Struthio camelus: one gene and its partners. The protein of the gene in region 1 interacts with the protein of each later gene in a pairwise test. Links are inferred from orthologs where the notes say so. Each region holds a gene or a part of one and is shown in the gene's direction. Other genes may lie near its edges.

Evidence for each region.
Region 2: the proteins of DMRTB1 (region 1) and IL16 interact in a two-hybrid assay, tested with the Homo sapiens proteins (2 studies listed by BioGRID). The two-hybrid records come from large-scale screens. The link is inferred for Struthio camelus from reciprocal best matches to the Homo sapiens genes DMRTB1 and IL16.
Region 3: the proteins of DMRTB1 (region 1) and SLAIN1 interact in a two-hybrid assay, tested with the Homo sapiens proteins (2 studies listed by BioGRID). The link is inferred for Struthio camelus from reciprocal best matches to the Homo sapiens genes DMRTB1 and SLAIN1.
Region 4: the proteins of DMRTB1 (region 1) and EXOSC1 interact in a two-hybrid assay, tested with the Homo sapiens proteins (2 studies listed by BioGRID). The link is inferred for Struthio camelus from reciprocal best matches to the Homo sapiens genes DMRTB1 and EXOSC1.

Annotation. Positions count from the first base shown.
Region 1 is NC_090949.1:32,201,390-32,209,210, forward strand, and holds the start of DMRTB1 (doublesex- and mab-3-related transcription factor B1), read left to right. Parts: upstream 1-4,806; coding exon 4,807-5,221; intron 5,222-6,855; coding exon 6,856-7,088; intron 7,089-7,821.
Region 2 is NC_090953.1:10,890,842-10,898,204, forward strand, and holds the start of IL16 (pro-interleukin-16), read left to right. Parts: upstream 1-4,348; 5' UTR 4,349-4,352; coding exon 4,353-4,402; intron 4,403-6,762; exon of another isoform or gene 6,763-7,363. UniProt on the Homo sapiens protein: Interleukin-16 stimulates a migratory response in CD4+ lymphocytes, monocytes, and eosinophils. Primes CD4+ T-cells for IL-2 and IL-15 responsiveness. Also induces T-lymphocyte expression of interleukin 2 receptor. Ligand for CD4.
Region 3 is NC_090942.1:176,505,845-176,512,714, reverse strand, and holds the start of SLAIN1 (SLAIN motif-containing protein 1), read left to right. Parts: upstream 1-3,859; 5' UTR 3,860-3,867; coding exon 3,868-4,397; intron 4,398-6,870. UniProt on the Homo sapiens protein: Microtubule plus-end tracking protein that might be involved in the regulation of cytoplasmic microtubule dynamics, microtubule organization and microtubule elongation.
Region 4 is NC_090948.1:16,978,408-16,985,789, reverse strand, and holds EXOSC1 (exosome complex component CSL4), read left to right. Parts: upstream 1-4,382; 5' UTR 4,383-4,438; coding exon 4,439-4,469; intron 4,470-4,713; coding exon 4,714-4,829; intron 4,830-5,021; coding exon 5,022-5,096; intron 5,097-5,465; coding exon 5,466-5,554; intron 5,555-5,820; coding exon 5,821-5,854; intron 5,855-6,049; coding exon 6,050-6,100; intron 6,101-6,198; coding exon 6,199-6,283; intron 6,284-6,699; coding exon 6,700-6,806; 3' UTR 6,807-7,051; downstream 7,052-7,382. Other genes in the region: palmitoyltransferase ZDHHC16, read right to left, coding at 288-482, 704-956, 1,803-1,924. UniProt on the Homo sapiens protein: Non-catalytic component of the RNA exosome complex which has 3'->5' exoribonuclease activity and participates in a multitude of cellular RNA processing and degradation events.

The DNA of each region.
Region 1 (7,821 bases):
AGGTTTTTCGCATAGCAACCATGTTAATAGAGTTTCTCTAATTAGCATTTAAGAAATAAGTTTTCTTGATCTATACTAAAAAGATCCACAATTGTAAGTACTCGACCTTTTATTTTAGTCGTATTTGTTTAAAAAAAACCACACACACACACACACACACACACACACAGAAGCATGCTTTGCATAGCTTCTCTAATTTTTGAAGATTTTAAACTCATGTACGAGCTCCATCCAGTTTTCTCTGACCAAAACATAGATTTTCACCTCTTGGAGACAGTAGATGGAAATCAGCATCTAATCCTGCTCCATCTAAAACCTGTATAACAATAAAAAAATCCACCCCAATGGAACTTCCGTTTGAATGACGGAAGATAACATAAAGGTGAATCTGCCCATATGGCTCTAAACAAGTTAACTGGAACCAGATTTAAAACTGGTTCAACCCAAAAGCATTTCGGCCATTTCAGCTCTGAAGGTAGGTGTGATCTAATCGTATTGAACTGTTTTAGACCGAAGTTTTTCCTAGCATTTTTAAAAAATCTGTTTACTACAGTACAATTCCATGGTGATTAGAGAAGTGGAAAATATAGTATAAGGAAGGAACTCCAAGACTCATGTTCATGGTCATCTAGGCTTGCTGTGCCCAGGATTAGACAGCCTCATAAGAATATTAACCAACAGCTGATCCTAGCAATTCTTTGACAGACACGATTGAGGGATACGTAGCAGTGTGAGGTTTACTGGTAAAAGAGACATGCTATAACGCCGATCAGTGGAATGATGTTTTAAAGGCTTTGATACTTTTTCTAAGGATCTTCTCCTAAGCATGAGCGTGACTGCAGAGGAAAGCATGAAGGTGTGTTTTCAGTGCTATTTAAAAAGATGATATTCTGGGCCAGGTGAAGGTGAGAGTCCGCATCTTGACAGGGGACATGGGCTGAGAGGAATGATGAGGACAGACTGTGGAAGGGATTTCTCTTCGGGGAAGAGAAGTAGGATAAAACTGATGCAAAAGAGGGGGAGGAATGCAAAGGGAGGATGACATAATCGAGAAGGACATGCTTTGTGGAAGGCTTCTGAGTGAAAAACTGTGGGCAAAGGAGACTGCTTTAGTCTAGACAGGTTTTCTGGCCATGTGGATGGGGAGAAAGGACATCTGTAACTGCAGTACAGTGTGGGGAGAACCAAGCTATATTTAAATTAACTAATACCCCAGGGACGTTGTGAAACGGAGACGGAAACACTTCCTTCCCAGCAACAGGATAGGGAAGGGAGCTCTGATGTTCCCTGGCTGTTTGGAGAAGCTTTCTGGCCAGCCAGCTTTCTGTGCGGCTTTCTGGGCCGCACCTGACTTGAGACATCCAGGAAGGCATCAGGACATTGACCTGAGAGCTTCATCAGTCAGTGCAGGGAGCCACAGCACCCAAGAGGGAGTGATGCCAGGAGATTCGTTGCCAATCTGCAGGTGAAGTCAACTTATTTGTTGAGGATGCATAACAGAAGGGCACTGGATGTGTTGCGGTGCGGAGCATCTAAAGCCTGGCTAGTCCTCATGAGAAAAGTCCTCCTTGTGCAGGTAAACGTCCTCATGTTAATTGTATCATATTTGATAGCAATAAACAAAGGACTCGTCAGTTATAACGTAGAAGAGCTGATAATGCTACTCCTGTATCAGTTTTTATCAGCTTCTGAACTATGCAGATAATGTTCAAAGAGAGGATTTTCTCTTCGCATGTGATGTCTTAAAAATTCAAAAGATATTCCTGACTGCTATGCGTATGAAAACATTTAATTTGAAGCAAGGTGAGTGCAAATGTTTGTTCGTGGAGATCTCAGACTGCAAGAATCACGAAGCAGAAGCTTCTGTGTGTGATTTTTGAACATTAGTCATTATAACTGAAGCAGTTTCAAAAAGCGTAAGCAGTCTTCCACAATTGCCCACCCTTGGAGCAAATTTCTTGATTGTGTTGTTAGTGCCGTAAGAAATGTCAAATCTAAGCAGAGCAATTGCCTTGCCAAAAACATTTACTGTATAAAATATAAGCTGAAAAGTCTGAGAAAGAGGAAAAACCCCAAACCCAGTTTTCTGCGATTCAGCTTAAAGACAGCCAGTGTTTTGATTTGTTCCTACCTAAATCGTGGCTTTTCTTTACTGTGTTTCACATACAAAGCAACCTGCATACCAAAAGCATGCACTTCAACAACCCAGAAGCTCGAAAGAAGTAGGGACGTTATTGCTACTGAGTTCAATACCGTGAAATCAAGCAGGTAGCTTTCCCTTCATTTTGGCAAGATAATAATTCTTATAAATCCTATTGTACTACAGAAGTCCGTCTGTACACACTTTATGTTACAGCCCCATTATATGATACCTCAAATATTGCAGTAAAGTAACTAAGCAGAGGAGAAAACAGAGTCTTTCGTATGCCTCATTTTCTTTCCAATGAGAACAAAGGAGAAAATGATAATTGACTTGAAGCTGCATGCACGTACAATTCTACATCACATTCCAAACATTTATTTTTGCAAATTGCTCTGTCTTCTCTGCACGGTAGTCTTGCTGATGGTGTGTGATAAGCTAACTCAAATGTATACATGAACACGTAACGAGACTGGAGCGGCCGAATTCTTCAAACTGTCTGCAGGAATACATATTCATCTCACGAACAAAATAAAATGCTCACTTTTCTATAGAAAGCACGTCTAGTCATGTTTGAAACAAATTATACGGAGAGCAGAATAAATCCTGAATGCCTCGGTGAAAACTGTTCAAAAGAAAAACCCACACGGCTTTCAGAGCTATGGTGTATGTATGGAGAAGACGGTTACTGCCCATGACCAGCATACCTTTCTTGAGAGGGGAGAGAGAGAAGTTAAGTATGTTTGAGCAAATGTCTCGAAAATTAGTATGATAGGAGTTGAAAATTACTATGTAAATTGTACGCAACCTACCCTTCTCCTCCACTATTTAAATATCCAGACAGACACAGAACGTGTATCTATGCAAAGATGTAATTGCAGTTGTTTAAAATGTGTCATCCGCGCTCTTTGATTCTACAGCTGAATATGCACATCCTCAAAATATACCAAAAATATGGGGCAGGAGACTAGGAATATGCTAGCATGCCGTATTTAATACAAAGTCAATGTTCAGAAGCATTACGGGATCATCATCGGCTGTTCAGGCCCCGGCACAAGCAAGCAGCACCTCAATGCTGCATTTAACAGTGAATTGCATTGAAGACATATTAACCAAGTGCTTTTCTGAACCGGGAACAAATGGTAACATTTTCTGGTCACACATTCAAAGCTATTTAGCCACAGTGCACCCGGGCCCATGCACGCGAAGGTGCCTTTCCGAACAGCCCTCTCGGAGACTTCCTGGGAAACAGGATTCCCGTTACGAGGGCAGGATACTGATTACATTTGCATACGGGCAAATCCCGAGGTCTGGGAGACGTGTGATCCCAAGGTCTGCAGGCTGGGATTGCTGCTGTGCTGGGCGACCTAGGGACAGAAGCTCGCGAGCATTTGAGAATTTGGGTCTAAATTGCTTTGGAGAGCGGGTCTTGTAAACAACTCCGCAGGAGGCTAACTCCTCCTGGAGGAGAGCTAAGCTCCGAAGGGGCCTTTTCCAAGTCAGAAGGCTGGAGGCAAGCTGAGCCCTGAGGCTCGCAGGGGCCAGGGGGTCTGGCTGCTCAGGGCCGGTGCAAACCAGACTGTTGCTAAATCTCTTAAAGAGGCAGCCCCGGCCCGGAGAGGCAGCGTGGTGCACCCAAGTCTTGCAGGACCGGCTGCTCCGCAGCAAGCGTTTCTGCAAGGCTGCCGACCCTGTTGCATGTTAGTAGAATTGCGTCGGGGCAGCAGAGAGATGGGACTTTGTGCTCTTGAAACGGATCGGGGGGGAAAAAAAAAGCTTATCACAAGTGCGTGGTGCTAGTTTATTTTCATAGCATTCTTTGTAGCGCTACAGAAGCTGTTAGCATCTCAGGATTTGAAAACAGAATTAGCTATTGCATGCGTGAGGCAAATCAGCAGTGTCATTCGGCACACCGCCCCATGCGGAGTTTTGCCCTGGGACTGGGCTAGTGTATGAAAGCCTGCTTTTGTAGCTACGAGCAGTTAACAAATAACACAAGGGTTTTACGAGCAATGCTGAAGCTGGGGCGTGCTTGCGTTGCTCGTTGCAAACCTGTGCCTGCTTCCTGAGCCTAAGGAGCGCTGAGTTTTCAGTTCTTCTAAACAGGAGACTGGTCTTTGGCATGTGCTTTCCCCCCTTACGGCAGAGCCTTGCTTTGAAAACCAGAATGATGAAATAGTCTTTTTTTTTTTTTTTTTGTGTGTTGCTGCTGCTGAAGCAGTCCCTCTCTCCTGCTGGTCAGGAGAAGGATACTGCAAATTGGAAACAAAATGAAACTGCTGCCTGTGTTGAAAGCAAATGCGAGGCAAGAGAGGGAGCGCAGCTGCTGGCGCGCCAAACAGGGAAGACTGATCATTTAAGCGCGCAGTGTACGGGGCTCTGGGTTTCACACCTCCGCGCACACGCCTCCGCCGCCGCCGCTCCACACAGTCCGAAGGGAGCCTGCCCAAAACTGCCTGCCTCCTCCTGCCCGCCGCCCCGCCAACCCCGCCGGGGCAGGCCTCGCCGGGCGCCGCGGCCCCCAGCCTCCGGGCAGCAGCGGGCCGGCTCCTGCCCCGCCTGCCCCGCTCGCTACACGCCGGGGCCGCGGCCATTGGATATATAAGAGAAGCGTCGCCGGCGCCTGGCTGAGCGAGCTCGCTCGCGGCGGCCGGGCCGGGAGCGGCATGGAGGCCGAGGAGGAGGCGGCGGCGGCGGCGAAGGCGGCTCTGCGGACGCCCAAGTGCTCCCGGTGCCGCAACCACGGCTTCGTGGTGCCGGTGAAGGGCCACGCCGGGCACTGCCGCTGGAAGCTCTGCCTCTGCGACAAGTGCGCCCTCATCTCCGAGCGCCAGAAGATCATGGCGGCCCAGAAGGCGCTGCGGCGGCAGGCGCCCGACCCCTCGGCCGCCGAGCCCGCCGGCGAGGGCCCCGGGGCGGCCGGCGCCTCCGAGCAGGGCGGCCCGGCGGCCGGCCGCGAGGGCACCAAGGGCGCCCCGCCGGCCGGAGGCAACGGCCGGGGCATGGCGCGCCGGGGACCGCCGCCGCCGCCACCGCCGCCGCCGCCGCCTGCCCCCGGCGGCGCCCCGCTCTGGGACTACGGTAAGGGTCGCGCCGGCGCCTGTCCCCGACGGCCATCCCCACCCTGCCCCGCTGTCCCCCGCGTCCGTCCCCTCCCTCCGTGCGCCCGGGTGAGCGAGGCTGCGTGTGTTTGTCCTGCGGCGGCGGCGTTTCCGATGGTGCCGGTGGTGCCGGGGTCGTGCGACTTTGTAGCTGCAGGAGCGATGCGGTCAGCTGCTCCGCTCCTGCAAGTGTTGCCACGCCGGGAGTTAAAGCCGGAGCGTTGCTCTTCTGGAGGGAAATTTGGGAGGGAAACCGAACTGTGACCAACTGCGCGAGAGAGGCGCGTGCGCACGTGTCCCCGAGCGCTGCCCCCTTGTTTACAGCTTCACAGACACGTCCCTTCAGCAAGAAAAACACTTAAAAAAACTGAGCAACGGCAAGTAAACGGCAAAGTTACTGCCGCAGTCGCCTAGAGCACGCGTTTTATGATAGCGCCATAAAAGAAGGAGACCTTTTGGCCTTCGTTCCTGTAGCAACGGCTTAGCTTGGCGCGGACCGCGTGGTGCAAAAGCGCGTTTGTATTTAAGAGTGGAGCATAGATTTTGCAGATGGAAAAGGTGTATGGTCTGTCACCTCTTAAATTGCTTCCTTTAATAGAGTCTTTCATGTGACTTGTCTAGTCTATTACTATTTATTATAGTAATTTCAGACTATTACTATTTACTGTGGTAATTTTACAGAAATCCCGACAGGCTGCAGTAGCCGTTAGCGTGGGCCTGTGGAGAGATGGCAGTTTAGAAGACAAAGAAAATGCTGGTCTGAGAAGCCCGGAGAAAAGAGTCATTTCAGACATCCCTAGTTCCCACCTCATCTGTCAATAACTGTTCCATTTTTTCGGCTTGGTTTCCTAAGGAAATGAGGCTTATGGATCATGCTGGCTGTGCATGTTCCTGTCAGTCTTTCCCTTAATAAAATTTTTAACCTGTTGACCGATTTCAAGCAGAGTTAGGGGCAAACAGCAGAATTATAGTACTCCGGTAGATTTATTCGAGAAGCAAACCCTTCCACTGCTACATCAACAGGGGGATGGTGCAGACAAGAAAGACCCTATTCATTTTCATGCAGCCCCTTTTTTTTTAGACATCAGAGAAGCCATGTGAGAGTTCAGGCACAAGATAAAAACCCAAAGGAAGCAGTTGATTCCTGCATCTGAAACTGCCGCTCTTTGTCACGGAACCTAAAAATGAGGACTTCTCTGCCTCTTAACTTTGGAAGTGCTAATAGTCCTGAATGTAGAGCTGTATATTATTTCTCTCTCTATATATGTTTTTTTTAGTTTTGATATATTTAAGTCTTAAGGCAGGTTGTTTTCTCCTGCTGTTGTGGCTATACTGAAAGAATAAGACTCTGCAGTCAGTGCTTTACTAAGGACTAGCTTCACAATGCACAGGAGGGTAGAAGAGACTGCAGCTCCTTCTGCAGTGGTTCGTTTGCCTGTTGCACCTTTCCTTAGTTCCTTAAAAAGATCACAAAAGAAGTTCATCGGGGTAAACGTGAAACCAAATGGCCAGGTGCTCCTGGCTGAGAGTGGAATTTGGCCCTGCAGCTATTTCGGTTGAACTCCACAGCACTACAGTGACGCTTCTATTTGTTCTTTGCTAACTGTTTCCCAGCTCACCGGGCTTTTCCTCCAGAATACGTGGTTAACCCAGAGTACCTGGAGAGAGAACCTCTGAAGGTGTACCCTGGGCGTTCTGGGGTGTATCCTTACCACCCGTTTCCCGTGGGATTTGCCATCAATCAATCAGGCTGCAGGGGAGCACCACCACCGGCAGGGATGTCGCTGCAAAGAGGTTTCCGACACGTTCCCAGCACCTATGGGCCAGGGAGCGCAGCTTCTCTGTCAGTAAGTAGTGGTTTTTTTACTTACCTCTGGAAAGACTGTTGTCTTTGTTTTTAGCTGCCTTCTTGCTGTGAAAGTAACCATGAAGAGTTACCTGCTTATCAGTTACTTCACAGCATCTTGATACATTGCACTGAAGAAACCAGGAGCAAGCAGTGACGTTAATAGCCTGTCCTGAAGCCGGGACATCAAACTCACGCAGTTATGAGGGGCTAGATTTTGTATTTGGGGGCTTACACCTCCTGCTGATGTCGACAGCAGCCTTTTGGGACGATGGCAGCTGGTCACTGACGTGGTCCTAGTGTACCAGCGTAGATGGCACAGAATGTGCACCGGGAAGCCTCTCTTCTTCCGTGTAGGACAGAAGTCATTGGGTGGGAAGGTATCTTGGGTTGGCCAACCCGCCGCAGCCACAGAGAAGGACAGGGAGAAATCTCTTTCGGCTTCCACAGGATACTGATTCAGCACAGTCAGGTGTTTCTGTTTTGGGACATTTAGTTTCTCAAAAAAAGTGGAAAATTGTTGTGGTTAGTGGAAGTTTCAAATGAAAAATGACTAACGGAAAACCCTGTTTTCTATTGAGAAAAACGTTGAGCAGAAAGTTGAGATCGTATTGAGGGGGAACGGACAGGTGTATTTTGTAAGGAGTATGAAAGCTGAGGGTGGCGAGCAAAGTACCCAGCTGAGGGATAGACCAGGGCAAGGCTTAGCCCACACCTTCAAATCACAGAGAAAT
Region 2 (7,363 bases), on another chromosome or scaffold:
AACTTGTATTAATTCATAGGAAGGCAATTCACTGAGAAACAGTCTAGAAGACTGCAGAGCTAGATACCGTTATAAAACAGTCAGGTAAAGAAGTTCACAAAAGGAAGTGGATTTTTAAACAAGGCCCTGAAGAAAAAGGAGGGGATCCAAGCATACAAAAAGAAGCATGAAGCTGAGAGACAGGAAGAGGCAGAAGAAAAGTTAAAAGTAGGTAGGGAATAGAGGATGATACCAATAGAGTGATCAAGGCACAGAGGTCAATGACAAAGGGACTGTACAAAGACTTGAAGATCAGGATATTTTTCTTAGTACAACAACCAAACAAATTTTAGAGGCAGCAAACTTAAAACAATTACAAGTAAGTACATTTTTATGTAACGCCTGAAACTCATTGCCTCTAGATACTCTTGAAATCAAAAACTTAATAGGAGCCAGAAAAGGATGAATTACAGTTACGTTACACAGGATTCATTTCATCTTTAGAAGAAAAAAACATTCTTCATGCTTCCTTGCAGAAGCTAGGTACTAAGTGATGAAAGGAATTAGAACGAGATTTACCTCATCTGACATAATGCAATACTTACGTGTTATGGGCAGTTTGCAGCTTCTGCTAAAAACAGCGCTATCCAATCATAATGTAAAAAGCCTCAACAACTTTGGAACACATACAAAACCTCAGAGTGCCAGCCTACTCTAACCAAGAAGGTGCTAGGAGGAAACTCTTCCCGAAAGCGAGTTCTCTCTTAATTGCTTTTTAGCAAGGCAATTCCTTTGAAGCAATAGCTATAGGCCATTGCTAGAGAAGGATACTGAATTAAGGATATTGTTTATACTGTGACTCAGTGTGCCAGTTCCTATGTTGCTATGTTTTGATGGATGGAAGGGCAGAGTGAAAGCTGTAAAACCCAAGACACAGATGACTAATTCAGTCCTGGCTTAGCAGCAGCGAGGGGATGGTTGTCCTGTGCAATGTAACTTGTTGTCTGGAATATGGTAACGTGTGAAAATTGTCACTGTGTTTAAGGCACAACTACTTCATTGGTTTGCTGAGCCATGTAAGGACAGGACAAAATTGAGACTATCTCAAACTCTCTCTCTTATTAACACATGGAGTATTTGAAGTTGGGTGGAGATCAAAACTGGAGCTAAGTTCCATCATTACTTAGATTTGCTTTGCACAGTACTAATGTTGTGTTTAAGTTTATATGCTCCTTTTTCGGGAAAGGTTATCACTAGCAGCAACAGGCAAAACATTTAGTACAGAACAGCCTGTATATCTAAAATCTAAACTTTGGATTTGGAAAATAATTTGGGGGAAAAGAGGGATCCGTTCCTGCATCTGCTATGGTACCAGACTCATCCTGCTTTCAGTCATGCAAAAAAATTAGTCATAAAAAAATGAGTCCAAGGACTACTTTAAGTCCGTTTCCCATCTCCAATATAGACTAACTCCACTTGTCAGAAAAGGGTCTCCATTAAGGGGAAACTATGACCTATCCCAGGCCAGATGTACCACCCTACCTGTAAATGGTAAAGTTTGACTTTTATTCTGAAGCAAGTTGCTGCCCCTTAAACATGTTACTCCCTTTAACTGTGGCTACTATTTTCATCTACTCACTCCTTGGGGTGAAATCTGTGTCCCACTGAAATCAAAGGCAAAATAGCTAACTTCAAAGGGCTCATGATTTCTGCTCTCTTCTTGCTCCATGCATTAATTATGCTACAGATTGTATTTCCTTTTATTTGTTTGGACTCTTTTTTTTCTGCTACATTCTTCTTTTCCTGTTGCTTTCACAAAAAGACAGTAAGGGAATACAGCTGATTTTCCTTATATTGCCTATTATTTCATAAATCTCTGTCAAGGCAACTCCTTTCTGTAAAGGAGAGTCCACATCACTTCAATCTTTTCATACAAAATTCCAGCCTCTGATCAATGTTCACTGCCTTTTTTCTGGTATGATATCTTTGAGCTAAGTAATGAAGACTGACCACAAGATCCAATATCAAAGCATACCATTACTACAACATGGCAGGCACAGCAGAGGTTCTCTTTCTTTCTCCTTTTTCCTTATGGCTTCTAAAAATGCGCTTTTCTGTTCACCACTGGGCACTGACAATTACTGTACAGAGATGAAAAAAGCTGCAAAAGGTTAGAGTGAAACATCATGAAAAACAGTCCCTCCTTGTGATATTTATGTTTCTGCTGCTGGCCTTGGCAGAAGTCCAGATTCTGCATGAACAAAACTCCCAAAGGCTTAAGGACTACAGAATTTAGCCCATAGTCAGGAAGCACAATAACATGTGACAATGGGAAGAAATAAAAAATAGCTTTCCAATGCTTTTGAGCTTCCAACTCGATCAGTTTGGATCAAAACCCAGGGGCTGTTAAGATTCTGTGTGAATGAGTTCTCTATTGCTAAACAAAAGCATGTGTGTGTTACCGTGTAAGACAGTTAAGTGGTAAACAATATGTGGCTTCGTTTTCTCATTGATATTTCATTTTACAGAACCAGCACTATAAAATCCCAATTTATATAGCAGGCCGCTGTCTTCTCTATTCAAATACAGTGATGAACCGCTTCAGAAAACACAAAATCAACTCCCTAATTCTCCTTCTTTCCAGGAAAGCTACCTGATACCCAGTGTTCACTACTCAGCGCCAAAGCATGGTTCTTCTACAAAAATGAGAAGTTAAAATCGTAGGGTAATGCTCCATGTTTACTATCATCCAGTAACTCAGGTTAAAACTGTCCCCTTTACATTAGATGTCCGTTGGTTAACTGATACCATGAAAACTTCTTAGTTGGGAAAGCAATACTGAATTCTCATCTTTTTTTAAACACTTAAAATATAAATTAGCCACAATTATATTATCAAGGACAGAAGGTGTCACTGCTACTGTAGATGACGTGCAGAGCAGAGCAGAGAGAGTTTTGCTTTTTGTCCCATCAGTTTTGCTTTTTGTCCCACTTGTAATTCTCACGTGGCAGTCGCCTGTCTTCACAGCCTACATTTTTAGATATCTAGAGGTTACAGGAGACCAATAAACATGAGTCCGTGTCAGCAAAATATTTCAAACCCATTTTATACTTTCTCTCTTTTGTGAATTTAGTGACAGACCAGTAAAACTGGGATCTTAGAGCCACAGAACACAGAGAGGGTAGCAGGTGTCTAAGCACTCTCTTGTTGACCATTTCCATGACCAGATGGGGCCAGGTGTAAAATTCAGGTTTCTATTTACATTTTCCAGAAATGTATAGGTTTTATAGGTTGTGGGAAAATTCCAAAGAGGCCTCTCTATTTCAATAAAACTAACATTAACTGTTTCAGAGACAATTCTTTTTGTTTTGGGATTTCTTTTTTTTTTTTAATTTACAAACTCCCTATGTATCTCGTGCCTACCTTACACTTAAAGCAGTCACAAAAATTCACTGAGAGAAAGTAGGTTTCTGAAGCAAGATTGTGTCTTGTCAGTGTGTGAGCAGAGCTGGGGGTTGACAGGCAGGAAAAGAGCAGCCTCTGTGTATTAGATGAAAACCAGCTGAGCATGCCTAGGGATGTGGTAGAAAGGCAGCTGACTGTTCCCACCAGCAATGGTCAATGCAGCTCACCGGTGCTGGCTGAGAGAAGTTGCCACAATAGTAGATCGGACTGTGAACCTTTTACTTTGCAGAAAAAGAAAGCTATAACAGAAGGAACTGGGAATCCAAGGCATAGTTCTCATTCCCTGGGATGCTCCACAGAAAGCGTAACAATTTACTGGGCCTTTGATCACGTTGGATCACAAGTTACAATCTAGCCCATAAGGAGACGAGTGTGCAAGAATTAGTAGGTTGAAGAGACCATGTCATTTCAAGGTGAACAATACAAGGGCTTGGCATTCAAAAGTGGCTCCTATTGTTTTTTGCTCCCGGAGCAGAAGTAGCCTATGAAATTCTTACTAGCTTAATGCTTAAAATATCTGCTGAAAATTATGAGAAACATGCTGGCCGTCTCGTCTCGGCCTCCAGCAGGAAATCCTGCACTTGATTAGCATCGATTTTCCTCCCTCTCACAGTAAGCCTAACATGCCTGAACCCCATCAATCCTAGGACCAGAGTGTGATGGGTAGAAACAAATGACACAGACTCCTTAAATGGTCTTTTCTTCCTTGGGTAGCGGGAAGCTTGCTGGAAACAGTTCCCCCAATACTGCATCCCATTGCTTTTGTTTATCTATCCTTGCTGACATTTTCTTCAATTAGGAAACAATAGCTCCGTTCCAATGTGCTGAGCAGAATTACTGAAACTGAGTCACGTGATATCATGAGGGTGTGTTTTCAATTATTCACTCTGTCTTTTTTTGCCAGGCCTATGAAGAGGAACAGCCTTCTGCAGAAGTCAGGTTTGCCTGCCTCGCTGTTGTAAGTTCCTCCTTTTGAATTTTTATTCTGCAATAAGTATAGGGTTTTTTTTTTTCAATAGTAAATCCAACTCTCCTAAAGTGCCTTTCTCTTTGTTAGAAAACTTCCAGATCTCTAGTTCTTCCTATTGCCTGGAAATCCTAGACATCTGCAATAGTTCAGTGTAATAGTATTGCTCAGGACTGAATCTGACAAAGATCACAAGATCTAGATTAAAAGGGGATGCAAGATATCATGCTGTTAGCACTTAGTAATATAAAACTCATCTTGTTCTTGCTAGCAAAGCACAGATCTAACTCTCCCACTGAGTGTTTAACAGCAGAGCACTACCATTCAATCTGGGAGCTACACCAAATTATTTATATCTTGTAAATGCTCGGTTTAATATACAACCAAAAATCTGAACCAAATGGGCACAGCTCAAATTATGTATTTTGTTTGCAGAGGACAGATTGAGTTAGGGCTTTTTAAACTTAAAGCTGGAAAAATAAAGCTTGAGGAAAAAAAAAAGAAAAAGAGAAGGAACATTTGGTTTGCATTACAAACCACAGACAACTTCCATCAGGCGCAGTGGAGGTATAGGAATGGCAAGAGAAAATGACAAGCAGCGAGTGCACTGAAAAGAAAGATGAATGGCTTGGAGAATTGACTTTGAAGTAATTGTCCATGCCCACAATACCTTGAATTAAATTTAGTGGAAGATGGCAATGAATCATAGGGCTTCTCTGGCACTGGCAATGCTATTTTCTGTGTAAAATAACATTTCTGGATATTTATATTGGGAAACTTACAGACTGTGTTTTTGGTGCCTCCTATATTTCTGTCACTTATGCAACCCCAAATCAGAAGCTCTGTAAAGGATGCAGCCTTAGTCAAGGCTTGGGCTGTGATCTGATACTTAGAGCAAGCATTTAAATGGAAGTCACCAGGTCTACAGGGTTTATTTTCAGCTCAGTCACTGGCTTGCTTTGAGATACTAGGTAAGTCATTCAGGGTTAAATTTGGTCTTTGAGAGGTGATTAAGCTCTAGGGGAGGGAGGGAAGGGGAAAGGAGCTGACACAGCAGGGCAGAAAAGATTTTCTCTCTGCATAAGACAGAATTCCTCAGGAGACATTGCATGGAGGGTGGGATGGCAGGGTGCACTTAGAATTGTGTTTCCTTTACTGTTTCAACAGGTGCTTCTGCATGTTCCCTGCATCCCAGATGCTTAACGCTAGTTGGAGAGGCAACTTTCAGAGCATTTAGTGCTGATAGCAATGCTCCCTCTTAAGCTCTGCAGCTTCAGGTAGAATGAGAAAGGGGTCCTGCATCTGTCTGACCTTCATTCTAGCACATCAACCTCCAGAGGGCCATATTTCAATTATTAAACTATCTAGTCTTCTGCTTACCCACGTACTTAATGGTTCTGTTTCATTCTTTTAGGGGAGATAAGAGTGCATTTAATTTTTGTACAACATCAAAATCCTTGAATGAAAAGTTTCTTCTAATTTTCTCCCACAGGCAAGGTTGCTTAGGTCTGAATGCACAGCTCGGGCTAATTTCTGACACTGTTTTTGCTGGTATCTAACAGGGATTGACAGAATCACAGAAGAAGCAACAATCCCCATTGTAGACTTTAAAGCGATGCACATTGCACAGACCTGTAGCAAGTTAGCCCTGCTGCTTCCTGTTGAGATGCTGGGGAGAGGTACTCGTTAAGTTACTCCAATGTGTCAGCAAGGCATGAAGTTCTCCTTGTCCATCATACCGCCTTTTCAAGAGTATTCTGTTCTAATGGGACAGATTTCATTTTTCCCTTCCTCTAAAATATCTTCAGACATACATGAAAAGCAACATCAAGCTTTAGAAGATTAACTTCTTAACACACTGAGACTCTAACAGGGATTTCCCAATTCAAAAACTGCAATTAGGTGGGTGCATAATAAAGTATTCTAAAGTTCTGGGCTAACCAAAAAGCTAAAAATGGTCCTTTTTCACAAAATACAAACCAAAAAATCCCAAACCTTGAAAGTCCTTACATATTTGTAGGGATAAGTGTGAGACAGCTTTTAACTAATGCAAAGTAATCAACAGAAAAGCATATGAAAGATTGCAAACTTGTGAGGCTGAATTTCATCAGCAACAATTCCTTATTTCAGCTCTCAAAGTTATTATTCTGATGAAATTCATAGCACTTTTCATCTCTGTACTTCAAAATAATTTACAGAGTAGAGGTTCTGAAAAGTAACTTCTCTCAATTGTGCAGAAAGGGAGATTAATGCTAGAGAAATACGACACAAAGTCAAAGACAAAGTCCACGTGTTAAAGCTGAGCTCCATGTCATCCCTTTCCCCATCCCCTCTGGCCACTGAATCCTTACACAAAGGCTGAGATGTCCTTTCATTCAGCGTGCACTCTGTCACATGAATGGAGCGTGGCTGTGCTGTTGGGCAGTCCTCCATCCACACTGCGGCTGCGTTCGTCCATGGCTGCAAATCCTGTTGCTATTCATAAGAAAAGAGGCTACTCTGAAAAAAAGAAAACGAAACATGGGACGAAGAACATGCTGTGTACTGAAGAGAATGAGGGAGAATACGCTAGTTCAATTTGACCCTTTCCTTGTGCAAGTGTTGGGGAGGCTGGGAACCCAGTGAGTTTGGTTCCAGTGTTCCCACTCAGCAGGGCCAGACTCTCCCATAGCGACAGGGACGAGACGCTCCCAGTGGACACACAGGAGAGGGGCAGAACACCCACCAGCTCTGTTGAACTTGACATGTTCTCCCAAAACCTTCAACTTTGCCGTGGAATAGCGTTCTCCTGGGAAACCCAAAGAATTCCAGTGCGCAGGGCATAAGTTTCGGGAAGCACTAGAGATTTTGTTCGGGAAGAGAGACATTAGGGAGAAGAGCAATATTAGGATTGGTATGACAGAATATAAGTTATCCCTAAACTTTTGTAAGAGTATCACCTACCAAAAATGC
Region 3 (6,870 bases), on another chromosome or scaffold:
TTCTCTGCACTGGGTGTCTATTAGTAACTATTCTGATTCAGAAATTTCTACTATACTATGTCACATAAGTAGCCTAAACCACCATCTTCTATGCTACCACAGTTTCTCCGGTTGAGGAATAACAGGCTTCATGGGCATGTTTGGATGTTTTGGATTGGTGTAAAACACATTTTTTCAATAACTTAAAAAAGGGATGCAGTCTTCATACAGTCTTCATTGTGTTTTGTGAAGAGCTGTAGGAGTTCTGGGTTGACCAAACACATCAGCAAGTGTGGGAATTCTGAATGGAGCTGGTCAAGCAAGTTATTAGCAATGTCAACAGTGGAGAAAAACCATTTGTATTAAAAAAACAACTTAGGTCAAAAATATTTTAATGACTAGGATGTCAAAACCATCTTTTTGGCCAGCACAAAGACCATGAAATAGCATGTTCATGTACACACACTCTATCTGCCAGAACCTCTGAGTGAAGATGCAATGTTAGTGAAACTACCTGTACGTTTAATATAGAGCAACCATAGCGAAACTGATTTTTTCCATTCACTAGAACCACCCTTTCAGGAAATGCCTGGTAAAAAAGATAGAGTCTCTCACCCAGATTGTGAACATGCACAAGTTTAAGCTGTTTTCAATCCATACTGCTGGATGGAGATTAGGCTCAAAGCAGACCCACCCTAGGGAGAGCCAAACTTCTGGACCATTTTTGTGGCGACTGGATGTAGTGAACTTGATTAATTTGTACAAACTGCCTGGAAAAGTTTTTATCCCCATGCTAAGGCATCATACTCAGTCCTAAGCTTTGTCCCTTCTGGAACTAGGTCCAAACAAGTGTCTGCATACAATATGTTTGTAGGCAGTCTAAACAGTGGAAGGTAGTTGAAAATTCACAGACAAACTGCTTCTACTCATAACTGAAGATAAGTATTTTAATAGTGACTCTTAAGGTCACGTGCCATGATACTTGTAGTATATCTCCAAACGTATCCCCAAACTGGTGTCTGTGTTAGATATTTTTACTTCTAAAATGTCCTGACCACACTGTAGTGTTCCTGCTTTGGCAGTCAGAAGAGCTTGGATCACTAGTATTTTCAGGACATTTGTTTGTCAATACTCTTCAGGGCTAACCTAGCTGGTATATAATTAGAATATTGTTGCCAGGTCCACATTTAATATTGAATATTGAAGGTTATAGGGATAAACCCGTGCCAAAACATTTGGAAATATTAGGAAAAACGCTATGTAGCTGAAAGGTGAAACAATCAGATATCAATTTCCTGCTTTTTGTTCGTCGTCTAAATAACTTTGCTCACCTGGTTCAAAGAGAAAAAGTAATTTCTCCGTTCTGGAACATTTTCAGTATTTCCTCTGCCTCATTGCATTATCCACCATAATTATTGTGACATTATCACAAACTACTGCGTTTTTTACGTTGTACAGCACCAATGACCAGTAAACGCTATATTACATATGCTGCTAGTTACCTTTTTATCATTTTAAAAATTTTACTGGATTAGCATACACATACTTCTAAGAATTAAGGCTAGTACCATTATGGGGGATGACAACGTGAGAGACAGGCCTTTTGCCTGGGGCTAAACATGTTGAAACTTATTCCTCTTTTTCTCATGGAAATGAAGATTATTGGTAGTAACAAAAACTGGATTATACTACTCACTCTGATGATGTGTGACAGAATTGGGACCAGCCATTTTCTACACCGTTAACATTTTTTCACTCCTTTCTTCCTAACGGGCAGAGGAGATCAAACACATTTTTGGATTTACTGATATCTGGTTGCACACTAATACAGTGAGGGCTATTTTTATTCTCCTCAGTGATAAAAGTTACATTATCTGGAAGTCAAAAAGCCTTATGCCCTATTTTATCTTCCTTTCCATCCATTCTTGAAGTGCTAGTTGTTGTTTGCACTGTAATAGCGCTTAGAAGACTAACAAATAGTAGACTCATTGTCTTGTGCATATGCAGAAAAAAGAGAGTCTGTTTTCAAAGAGTGTAAACAAAAGACAGAAAATTTTGACAGGCCGGATGATTTCAAAGTTTACTTATGCCCTGAACAGAGAATTAGGGCCTGTCCCCTTCTCACATATGAAATCTGAGATAGGGAATAGACACTGTGAAGAGGCAGTGGTGACTGTTGTTGGTACTACTCTGTCCAGTGTTGATGTTCAGTAACTGGGAAGCTACCCTATGTATCTTGATAGCTATAGTGACTATAGTGACTATAGTCCATAGTGACTCACCCAGCAATTTAACTGCTTCCTGCGATTTTATTGCGTATTTTGTATTATAGCTTTAGGAAACTTCAGGACAATCATTTAGAAAGCTGTCCTCTGTAATTCTAGCTCGGGGAAATGGACCAGAAAATGGGCAGTCCTGGATTCTATAATGGCCAAGTTGCCTTGGGCATAACACTGAATCCCTGTTGATCTTCTTGCCTCCAGGGAGGAGCTGACTATGCCCACTATTGCTGAGCATTTGGGATACTCATGTTCACAGTAATGAGCTCACAGAAGTGGTCAGTATTTTGAAGTTATTTGTAGTTACATTATCCTGTGTGAATAATTCAGATCAAGGGTACCCCTGTGTGGTTTGACTGTTCTCACATCAGACTCGCTCTGGCCCCTGGCAAGGGCACCATGGCAGACGACCGGGGGTGATGTTCTCGGCTCCTGCTTTCACCTCCATGCACATGCCTGACAGACCAAGCTGCCAGGTCACCTGCTCGGCAGGAGAGAGAAAAGCAAACAATAGTTTCTCTAAGTGCTGGATAATGAAGAACAATATAAAAACATTTCCATATCTCAATGTCATCCATCCCTCTCAAGCAGAGACTCAACACTACAAACCCATATACGTATCTGGATCAAGTTAAAAGACCTCATTTCAACACGGGGCCAATTTTAATCTCAGGGGCTCTCTGATACATAAACGATTTGCTTATGTGGTTTTCTACTACGCTTTGAATCGTCTTCATGCTTCTTCAGCAACGTATCTCCAAAAAGACATGCACTTTCCTTGTCCTGAATCAAAAGTCCTACAATCAGCATGTTTCAAAGCCACAAATGCGTGCTTTGGGCTGAATTCGTTCCTTTCCAACACAACAAAGCCTTGATTCGTGATTCTCATTCCCATCACAGCTAAATCTGCATAATTACAACCCTGACACCACCAGGCGCTAATTATATGGCTCACAGGAGGAATGACAGCCTGGGCCGGATCCAGCTCGCAGCCCGGCAGCGGCGTTTGCGCGCCGCAACCACGGCCGGGCAAAGACCTTTGTCTAAAGCCCCGGGATGACATGGCCCCGCCGCCCCCACGCGGGTCACCGCGGCCCTCGCCCCGCCGCCGCCGTCCTCCCCCTCCCTCTCCCGCCGAGGGCCGCCGCCGGGCCTGGCCGGAGCCCCCACCCCAGCCCGGCCGTGGCGCTGAGGGGGCTGCCGGGCCGCCACCCCCCTCCGCGCTGCCTCCCGCCCCCAAGGAGCGCCCGCCGCCGCCTGACGGCAGGGGAGCCGGGCGGCTCTTTGTTCCCTCTCTCTGTATGGGGCGGGAAGGGAGGGGGGCTCCGGCTGCCGAGTGGGAGGGGATCTCACCGGCTCCCGCGCCGCCGCTGACAGGAGGCGCAAGAGCAGCGGAGGCGGCTGCTACGGCGTCGCGGCGGGCGTGAGGGGTGGGGGGGGGCGGTGGCGCCGCCGCAGCGCAGCGCAGCGCAGCGCAGCGCAGGGCGCGGAGGGGCGAGGGAGCGGCGCGAGCCGCCCTCGCCAACGGCCGCCCGCCCCCGCGCGCCAACGGCCGCTCGCGGCGCCGGGCGCTGCCCAGCGGCGGCGCAGGTGCCGGCGGCGAGGGAGGATGGAGGCTGCCTTGCTGAAGCCGGCGATGATGGCGGAGGTGAAAGGGAGCGGCGCCGGCCCCGCCGTGGGCTCGGTCGTCAGTGCCGAGCTGGAGGTGAAGAAGCTGCAGGAGCTGGTGCGGAAGCTGGAGAAGCAAAACGAGCAGCTGCGGAGCCGTGCCGCCGCCGCGGCCGCCACGGCCACGGCGGCCGCCGCGGGCCCGCCCAGCCCGCACCTGCTGCTGGCCCCGCCGCCGGCTCCTGGCGGGCTGGGCCCTGCTGGCCCCCCCCCGGCGGCGGCCGGCGGCGGCGGTGGCGGGGCCGCTCCTTGCGCGCCCAGCGCGGTGCCCACCCTGCTGTGCGCCGCCGCGCTGGGCCCGCCGGAGCCCCTCGCTTATTTCAAGCCCACGCCCGGCCTGGCGGCGGCTTGCGGCGGCGGGCAGGAAGCGGGTGGCGGCGGCGGCGGCCCGGCGGCAGCGGCCACGGTGCTGGACGAGGTGGCGGTGCTGGAGCTGGAGGAGGGCTGCTGCGGAGAGGACGAGGATACGTGGTACGTGCGGTTCGTAGCGCGGCCTTGCCCGGCGGCGGCTCGGTCTCGGTGCCCCTCGCCCACCTCCCTTTTCCCCACCCGGGGCAGCGCCGGGGGCCGCGGCCCGGCCGTCTCCCTCCCCCCCACCCCACCGCGGGGCAGCAGAGCCCTTGCTCTGACCCCCCGCCGGGCTGCAGGTGTCCCCCGCCTCCCCGCTAATGCTCACCCAGATGGTGCTCTCCAGGCTATTATAAGCATTAGCCCCCACATCTACTTGCTCTTGTTCTGCTTAAACTTAAATCTGCGTTTTATTTATGTTTTTTTCTCCTCTCCTCTTTAACGTGTCACCTGCTTGGTGAGATCAACCTATAACGGTGAATGGGGACCCCGCGTAGGGGGACCGGGGGTTGTGCCCCGCTTCAGGTCAGGGCTTTATCCCCCGGGGCGCCTGTCCCTGCTCCCCTCCCCGGGATGCCCGCCCGCCCTGGGGCTCCTGCTCGAGGGGCCGGAGGGCGGCTTGCCTCGGCCGCAGCCTGCGCCGCAGCAGGGCCGACGGGGAAACACGGGGGCAGCCGGTTTTGCTCAGGGCCGGGCCGGTGATGTGAAGGAGGCACCGGCGCCGGGCGCGGCGAGGGGCCGGGCGGGCGGGCGGGCGGGCGGGCGGGCGCGGCTGGACCAAGGCACAGGCTTCCCGTCGGGAAAAGCAGGGATTCGCTGTTGTTTTTCCCGTTGGAAAAAAAAAAAAATTGTCTCTCAGTTTGGTGTCAGCCTAATTTCAGCCTACTGCTTACATAAGGTATTAAAAATAGCGGAACCGTTCCAGTAATCCTTTATCTGAACAGTGCTTCCTCCCCATCCTAAAATCTCTGTCCAGTTCGGCTCTGGTCTTCCGGGATTTGGGAGGGCTTTTGTTTTTGGGACATTGATCTACGCGGTTGTTTGTGTATCCGAAGTGCTTACGTAGTTCCAAAACGCATGGCGCTGTGCTAGTAAATGTTTTCTTAAAAAAGGGCAGAAAATAAATTGATCTAAAGGAATAGTTATGCCCGTTTAAAAATAAATAGAAGGAGAAATTATAGACTAAAAATATGAAAGATTGTTTGGTGCTACGTAAGTTGCCTGAGCAACTTGTGCAAACATCTTAGAGACTATTTAAGCGCTGCACTAATATTGTGGAAATCGTTGTCCACGTAACCACGTTAAGCGTAATTGATGGTCGATTGTATTAAAGTGTCAGTAGTAAAATGGATATTAATCATATTTAAATAACCATTTTAAGTATCTGTTCATGCCTCAGCATAGTTTCTTAACCTGTTTTAGTTTTAAAATCAAGCTGAAGAATACATCAGCTGAGAATAAAATACAGTATAATGCAGCTGAGATGCAGTTAAACATCCTTATTTTGGTAGTAAAGAAGGGATTTAAAAATGCAAATATCATCAGTATTTCTTGAACACTGGTTATATGTACTTCATAGCACAAAAGTAATACTGTGACTTAGTTTTTGGAAATTGCTTTTGAGAATTATCATGAAATTTTGCATACATTTTTATCAGTATTGTTTCATTCTGTGTATCCTTCGTCTGCATGAGTTGTTGTGAGAATGCTGATTCTGAGTTCAGTCAGTTTTTCCTTCAGACCTAACCCATTGCTTGTGGCAAATGAGTAGAAGTGATTAAACTTTCCTTTGCATTAGCATTTTTCCTCAAATTTGTTTGACCTAACAGAGCAGTACAAAGTCAGCGTTATTTTACGTATCTTAGTGCGGTGAAGATTTTGATCAGTTTCCTATTTGATTTGCACTCTGGAAGCCACCCAAGTGCAGTTTTGGGGCCAAAACTTATCTTCATGTCATGACCTGTAGTTCCAACTCATGTCACACATATATGTGTCTACAGGCAGAATCTGGTAATAGGAGTTTGTTAACTTTTTTATTCAATTTGGAGTGAATTGTGTTAGCTGTTGTACGTTTTCCTTTCAAGGATGCATCTCCTTTGTTGTCCATTAATGGTCAGCTGTTTGATGTCAGCTGCTTTGAGGCTTTTATAATTTAAGTCATTAAAGCAAACTGATATCTGATAATCCAAAGGCCAGTATGTTCCTCGCTGTTGAGTTAGTATTTTGGAGTCTTGAGTACATCTTTATTATTTTTAACTGTAGTTACAAAAACAAGAATTGGCTTTATTGCACACAAGCCAAAATTTATTTCTGCTTGTCAGCTTTTTATACAAATGTCTGATCATTGAGAATTCATCAGTCAGATGTTTAGCTTTCAAAACGCTTCTGCAAGCTAACAGGAGACCTCAAAACTTTTCCTTTTTTTTTTCTTTTTTTTTTTCATTTTTCTCAGTATCATGTTTTTAAACGTGTAGCCAAGCACAGCGTGGAGTAAGGGGAAATGAGTACTCTCCTCAGAGAAATTTAGTAGTTGAACTCTGGGATTGCCAGTAGAGAAATCAATTACAATGAAGGTATTTATTCATTTTGAGCTGGA
Region 4 (7,382 bases), on another chromosome or scaffold:
CCTCACCTCCCTTATGACTCTGAGCGAGCCCTAAACAGCACTGGGGACAGCCCACTACCTGCCCCCCACCAACCTCTCCATCACTCCCCCGCCCCAGCACTGCCCAGCCTCAGCCGCCCCATCCTGGAAGAGGGCTCCTGCAGTGATGCCCCCAGGGTGGTCTGGCTGGTCCCAGCAGTCGTCTGCAGCACAAATTGGGGAGCAGCCCAGAGCTTCCCCTACAGCTGGTGCTGGTCCTGCTCCCGGGAGAGGCTGGGCTGCTGACTGGTGCCCAGGCCTGGCCTCACCTGTGGTGGGTGTCCAGGAGAGGTGGTGATGGCCATGTAGTAGTGGAAGACGATCATGAGGAGGTTCCAGTGTCCGTAGGCGAGGTGCCAGCATATCCAGGCAGGTGTGTAGGTCTGCAGGATGAGGGGCAGCAGGCAGATGTACACAATGGCCACTATGGAGCTTGTCAGCCCAATCACCAGTGCCACAAACACCTATGGGAAAGGGAACTGAGTCACGGGAGCACGCAGCACCTGCCCCATTCTACCAAGGCAGGATTCAGGCACGGGAAGACGAGTTGAACCACAAGCCAAAGCCCCCACTCCCTCCAGCTAAGCACAGCACACATCAAGCCCAGTGCAGGCAGCCGGTTCAGTCCCTGCAGGGGTAAGATTCAATTGCCCCAGGAGCACCCCTCCCCATTGGGGACACTCACCACACCGAACCAACGGGTGACGTGGTCCACCAGCCAGTAGACAGGCTCAAAGAGGGAATCGAGCACCACGTCGCTGTTGGTGAAGGAGTTGTAGAGCAAGGAACGGAGGCAGAGGCGCCCGTAGTGCCACAGCTGCTCCACTTGCCGCACCAGCTTAAACCGCCGCCGCCGGCCCAGCCGCAGGCATTTGAGGAGCAGGCGCATCACCGCCGCAAACATCCGCTGCCGGCTCCTCATCCCTGCCGTGCCGCACCTGCGAGGAGAGACGCTTAGCATGGGCAGGCCGCTGCACTGCCCAGGCACCCAGCCGTCCCACAGCAAGGGCTGGGGACTCCCTGGAGAGGCTCTGCCCTCCTGGAAGTGCTGGTGCCACTCTCAGAGCCCTGAGTGACACCCCAGCTCCCTGCACCCTCTCAGAGCCCTGAGTGACACCCCAGCTCCCTGCACCAACCCTGCTAGACACCTGCATGCACAGCAGAGCCAGGACCTCTCCTATGTCCCACACAAGGATGCAGAGTAGGAGTAGGAGGAGCTGAGCCCACACTCCTGGAGGCCGTGGGGCTGCAGCAGGGGACACAGGTCCCTCAGCCCTCCACGGCTGGGTGTAGACGCTCTCCAGTCCCATCTCGTCTTTCCCAGAGGAGAGGGGGCCAGGATAGTGAGACGGAGAGACTGACTCAGAGGAAACCAGAGAAGGCGCAAGTGTTCAGGATGCTGGGCCAGTTCCAGGGCAGGGGCTCACCAAGGATGCTCAGAGACAAGGGACAATCCCAGGCCCAGTCCCTCATGCCCAGTTCAGGACTGGGGGAGTCCTCAGAAGACAAGCACAGAGGACCCACACCAAGATTACCTTGCTACCCCCAGAGGGCAGGGCCTGGACGTTGCTTCGCTTTGCTCGAACCTCCAGACCAAGCCTCAGGAGCTGTTCCCCACCTCACAGCCCCACTCCAGGAGACCCACAGCTTCCCCTCTTCCCCTTGCCTGGTTTCACCTCAGATAACCCCACGTGACAGTGAAGGACAGGCTGGTCTGACCCTGGGAAGCTACAGGCAGACATGATGCTGTGCAGGAAAAGAGACCCTCACAGCCAAGAGCTCACCTGCCTGCTGAGCTCTTCATCCCACCCGAGAGCCGTGCTAGGAGCGAGGAGGAACCCGAGCTGGCCCAGCAACGAGGCAAACGATCTGCTGGGTCGGGGCCCCGAGGCCTCCGTGCAGGCATGGCCCATCAATATTAACCAGGAGTGAGGCCACCCCAGGGTCCTGCGAAGGCACTCTCCGAGCCTGGGCCAGGCACTCGCCCCAGCACAGTGCCAGGCAGCAGTGCCGCATGCTGCCACGGAGCCTGTCCCCCACACGACTCACGACAGCTCCGCAGCCACCCTGGCCCCAAAAACTGCCCTAATCTCTCTCAGCTGCTGTTTCCAGCTCCCCACTGGCACCAGGCGAGGCAGGCACAGAGCTGCCCCTCGGCAGGCAGGACTCGCCACACAAGGCAACGGAGCCAGGTCTAAAGCAGCATTCGCCTGGCTCCAGCCTGCTGCTCCCCCATCCTCCAAACACCTCCACTCCCTAATACTGGGAACACCCAGCCACATCCCCAGTGCGGCTAAAGCAGCGTGATGACGGGACCCACAGGACAGCAGAGCTGCTGGGCCCAGCGCTGCCCTGTGCCCAAACCACGGAGCCCAGGCCATCTCAGTTCCCAACCCGCGGGGGACCCACGCCAGTTGGAGGGAGCAGGAAGGTGCCACCCGCAGCAGAGCCTGTCCAGCGGGGACCAGCTCCCTGTGCCACGATACCTGCTGCCACCAACATGCTGCCACACCAGAAGGAACTGGCAGGGGACAGCCCCTGGGGAGCAGCAGAGAGGGTAAGGTCAGGAGCTGCAACATCCACACGGGCTGTCCAAAGGAGCCAGGGGCTCCCCTCTGCCCTGCCCTGCCCTGCCCTGCCCTGCCCAGACGAGTGTAGGGCTGACTCCAAGGCTTGGAGCAGCTGGACATCAGGGTGTCAGACCCACCAGACCCAGCAATCCGCCACAGGCCATAAGCATGACTCCTCCCCAGGTTCCTACTTCTCCTGCACTCTGGTAATGGGGGGGTGGGATGAGCAAGCCCCAGTGCCACCCCCTACCCTACGTTTTCTCTAGACTCTGCCAAGAGTTTTCCTCTGAAACATATTAGAAGTGGATTAGCACTTTCAGCTGCATAGCCTTTGGGTGGCATCTGTCCCCATCTTTTTAGTCTAAGTAAGGGTAAAACGCTGCAGCCGGGGCAGGTCTTGGGGCCGGCCCTCCTCTCCAAACCCACAGCATATATGCCTGCCAAGCCCGCTCCCCCCAAGACTGCCAGGCTCTGATTAAAGAGATTGCCTCGCCTTTGACAGATGGTGGCTGCCGAGCTGGAGGGGCACACGGAAGGCAGTCAGCCCGAGCTGCCTAGGGACAGGGCAGGAACCCTCTGCCCCGGGGCTCCCCCCTGCAGACAGCAACGACGAGGCTCCAGCAGAGCCGTGCATCACCACAGGCTCGCTCTGGCACCAGAGCTCCAGCCCTTGCCATGCCCATGGCCCTGAGGAGCCGAGCCACACAAGCACGGCCATCTCCCCGCCAGGGAAGGGGCAGCAGCAACCTCCAGCATGGCCAAGCCGGACACCACAGGCATCAAAACAGCAAGAAGCAGGAGAGAGCTTTAGGGAAGGCCCTACCCCAGGTATATGGCGAGGCCTGCAAGACCCTGCGGGGCTGCAGCTTAGCGGAGCCCAGCCCTGTGGCACCCTCTGCTGGCTTCCAGCTCCCCCATTCCAGTAGCACCCATGCCCCGCAGCCTCCAGCTCCGAGTCACCCTCCTTCAGCACCCAGCAACATAACACAAAGGCTGCCCATGCCAACCGCACAAAGCCCTCAGCCCCATAGCACCTAGGCTCCTCAGCCCCACAGCACCCAGCCCCTCCAGGCCCATGACATACCCCTATTCACTCCCCAGGCCCACAGCACCCCCTACCTACTGTACCCAGTCCCTCCAGGCCCATGGCATCCCCCCACTGACTCTCAGCCCCACAGCATCCAGCCCCCTCCAGGCCCATGGCATCCCCCCACTGACTCCCAGCCCCACAGCACCCAGCCCCCTCCAGGCCCATGGCCCTCACACCGACTCCCAGCCCCACAGCACCCAGCCCTTCCAGGCCCATAGCACCCCCCCATTCACTCCCAGCCTCACAGCACCCAGCCCCCTCCAGGCCCGTGGCACCCTCACACCGACTCCCAGCCCCACATCACCCAGCCCTTCCAGGCCCATAACCCCCCCCCCATTCACTCCCAGCCCCACAGCACCCAGCCCCCTCCAGGCAACAGCATCCCCCATTGACACCCAGGTCCCCTCCAGGCCCATGGCATCCCTCAGTGATGCCCTGCCCAGCCCAGCCCATAGGGCCCCGCTCCCCCGTGCCAGCAACCTGCGGCCCCGCCGCCCGCCGTCTCCATGCCCGGCGGCCCGCCGCCCTCTGCCCACGGGCAGCTCCCGCCGCCCCGCACACTGCGCCTGCGCGCTGGCCGCGCGGGGCCTGCCGGGAAGCGCCCCCTCGGCGGGCGCCGGACTACAACTCCCAGCGGGCAGCGCGCCAGCGCTCTGGGCAGGGCCGGCACGAGCCAATAGTAGCGCCGCTTACGGCAGGGTCTTGCTGCCGGGGGCCAATAGAGTGAGGGCTTTCTGCGGGTGCACTGCGAGTAGTTAGCATGGCGCCTCCGGCTCGGTACTGCGTCCCCGGTGAGTGCAAGGCTCCGGCCCGCCCGCTCCGCCGCGGGGCCTAGGCGGCTCGGGGAGGGCTGGCCGGGAAGGAGGTGGTGGGGAGCCCCCCGGGGCATGCGAGGAGGCAGGCCCGGGGGGCTCTGGGGATAGGGGAGAGGGCCGCCCTGCAGAAGGGGCCCTGGCGGCGGCGGCGGCGGCAGCACGGCCCGAGCCCCGGCGGCCTCTGCCGGCGCCGGCCTCAGGCTGCGCGCGCGTCCCGCAGGCGAGCGGCTGTGCAGCACCGGGGAAGCCAGCGCCGGCAGTGGGACTTACACGCGGCACGGCTTCATCTTCGCGTCGCTGGCTGGCTGCCTGGAGAAGAGGAGCGAGGAGAGTGGGGTGAGCATGGCTGTGGCACGCACTGCCCTTCCCCAGAGGAGGCTGTGCAGCCCCTTCCCAGCCCGCTGCCTGCCCTGGGCAGCTGGGCTCCGGCTGTCCAGCCAGTGTGTGCTCTGAGCATGGTCCAGCACGACCATGTGCGTGAGCCGTGCATCGTGCCCTGAGCTAACCCTCGCGTCTGCTCCCGTGCAGCTGCCTGTTGTGTCTGTGGTGAGAGATGCTGAGTCCCAGCTCCTGCCTGATGTGGGGGCCGTTGTGACATGCAAGGTAGGGCACTGGAGTGTGTGCAGGTCTGTGCTCTGAGGAGGAGGGCCCTTTGGGTGCAGGAGGGAGATGCCAGCCTTGCAGTGGCAGACCTGGCAAACCTTGTTGCCCCACGGCTTGTGGAGCCTGGTGCACTCTTCAGGTGTACAAGTGCCATTTTCCTGCTGGCTTGCTGTTGGGTATCCCTTCTCCTTTGCGGCTCCTTTGGGTACACAGAGCTGGGGGGGCCTGGGACACTACCTTCTCATGTACAGCCATGGGCAGCAGGACCCTTGCCTTATACCTGTCCTGGTGCATGGATGTCTGGGGAAGGCGTGCTGGGGTCAGACCACGCTTGGATTGGCACTGATTCCCAGCTCTTCCTCTTGGCAGGTTTGCAGCATTAACTCCCGCTTTGCCAAGGTGCACATCCTGTACATCGGCTCCACACCCCTGAAGTCCACGTTCCGGGGAACCATACGGTAGGGAAAGGGCTGGATTCCCAGCAAGGCCTAGTGCCCAAATGGCCCGTCCTCAACATGAGCAGAAGGGTTTTCTGCACTGCTTTGCCTGGGCTCTGGTCCCTGCCAGCCAGGCGAAGCCTTTGGCAGGAGCTCTGCCTCGAGTGCCGGCAAGATGCCCAGCAAGCCCTGGTGGGCATTGACAGAGGCTGGGGAAACTCCTGCAGCGGGGTGGGGAGTCCTGTTTGCTCACTCCGGTGCTCAGATCCCTCTGTCTCCTCTTCTAGGAGAGAAGATATTCGAGCCACAGAGAAAGACAAGGTCAGTGAGGCACTGCCAGTTTCTGGGCTACCACAGCAACCCTGGCATGTGCTCAGCCTCCTGTACTCCTTTCTGTTGGCAGGGTGGCACTTGTCCTGCCCCAGCTGTGGGGCAGCTGCCATGGCTGCCCTGCCATGCCCCCACTGACAGGCTCCCCCACACACTGTGTGTTTGTGTCTCCTCTCTCCCATGCAGGTAGAAGTTTACAAGAGTTTCCGCCCTGGTGACATAGTCCTGGCCAAAGTCGTATCCTTTGCCCTCGCACCGGGAGGGCCCGCATGGGGGAGAGGGTTTGCGCTCGAGTCCCCTCAGGGAGGCCTTTCCCTTAACCCGTTTCTAACCAGATCTCCCTGGGGGATGCACAGTCCAACTACCTGCTGAGCACGGCGGAGAACGAGCTGGGTGTGGTGGTGGCTCGCAGCGAAGCAGGTAGGAACAGGCAGCAGGGCCCAGGCTCGGCCAGTTCTGCCTCGCCCCATGTGAGGAGCAGCTGATGCAGCTCAGAGAGCAGAAGCACCCTCCTCCCCTGTGCTGCTGAACCTCATGGGCCCCAAGGGCCTTGGGAGGAGGGATTTGGACCGTTGGAAACAAGGAATACAAGTGAAGGTCTGTGGCTATTAGCAGAGATGGGTGGGTGGTCACGCAGTGGGAGCAGAAAGGGGTTTTGTTGCCTTAAAGCTGGGAGGCCAGAGCTATGCCCTCTGGGCACGAACCCACACAGCCCCCTTGGCTCCCTGGGGCAGTCAGAGGGGCCTAGCCCAGACACTGTGTGGAGGGAGGTAAGGCACCACAGCACAGGGATGGCGGTGCTGAGAAACCAGCCACTGACTTGCCACGCTTCCTAGGGGTGCAGATGGTGCCTATCAGCTGGTGCGAGATGCAGTGCCCACGGACGCACACCAAGGACTTCCGCAAGGTGGCCCGCGTGCAGCCCGAGTTCCTGCAGACCTAGCAGCCCTGCCAGCCCAATGGGGCATGGCTTGTCGCTGGCTGGCAGCAGCTGGCTTGCGCCCCTTGGAGCCTGCAGTGAGCCTTGCTAGCCACCACCCTCCAGGGGCTGCTGTGGCCCAAGGAACCACTGGATTTGAGCCTCCTGCATTCAGCTCTGCACCTGCCAGAGGTTGGAAGAGCCAGCCAGGCCCTCCCTCCCAGGATGGATTTTATATTTGTGCTGTGCATAATAAATATTTTCCAAGAGCTTTCTGCTCTGCTCAGTTACTGTCCAGAGGAATTGCTCCAGCTGCCCCTAGCCAGCTGGGCTGGCTCCTGTAGAGCAGCAGTGGAGTTGCTGGAGGGGATGACCTCCCACAGCAGTGCAGGCACAAGGGAGCTAAATGCCTGTTTCCAGGCCACTAGTGGTGCAGGGGAGTGCCTAGCAGCTTTGTTGCAATAAAGACTATCAGCAGGGTGCTCTGGCTGTTGTTCTCCGCTGCAGAGTTTGGCTCCTCTTGGGCCTCTCCACAGCAGTAGCAAGTGCAGAGAGTATCCTAGCTTCCCCCCTCCTGCACAGAACAAGGAGGTGATAACC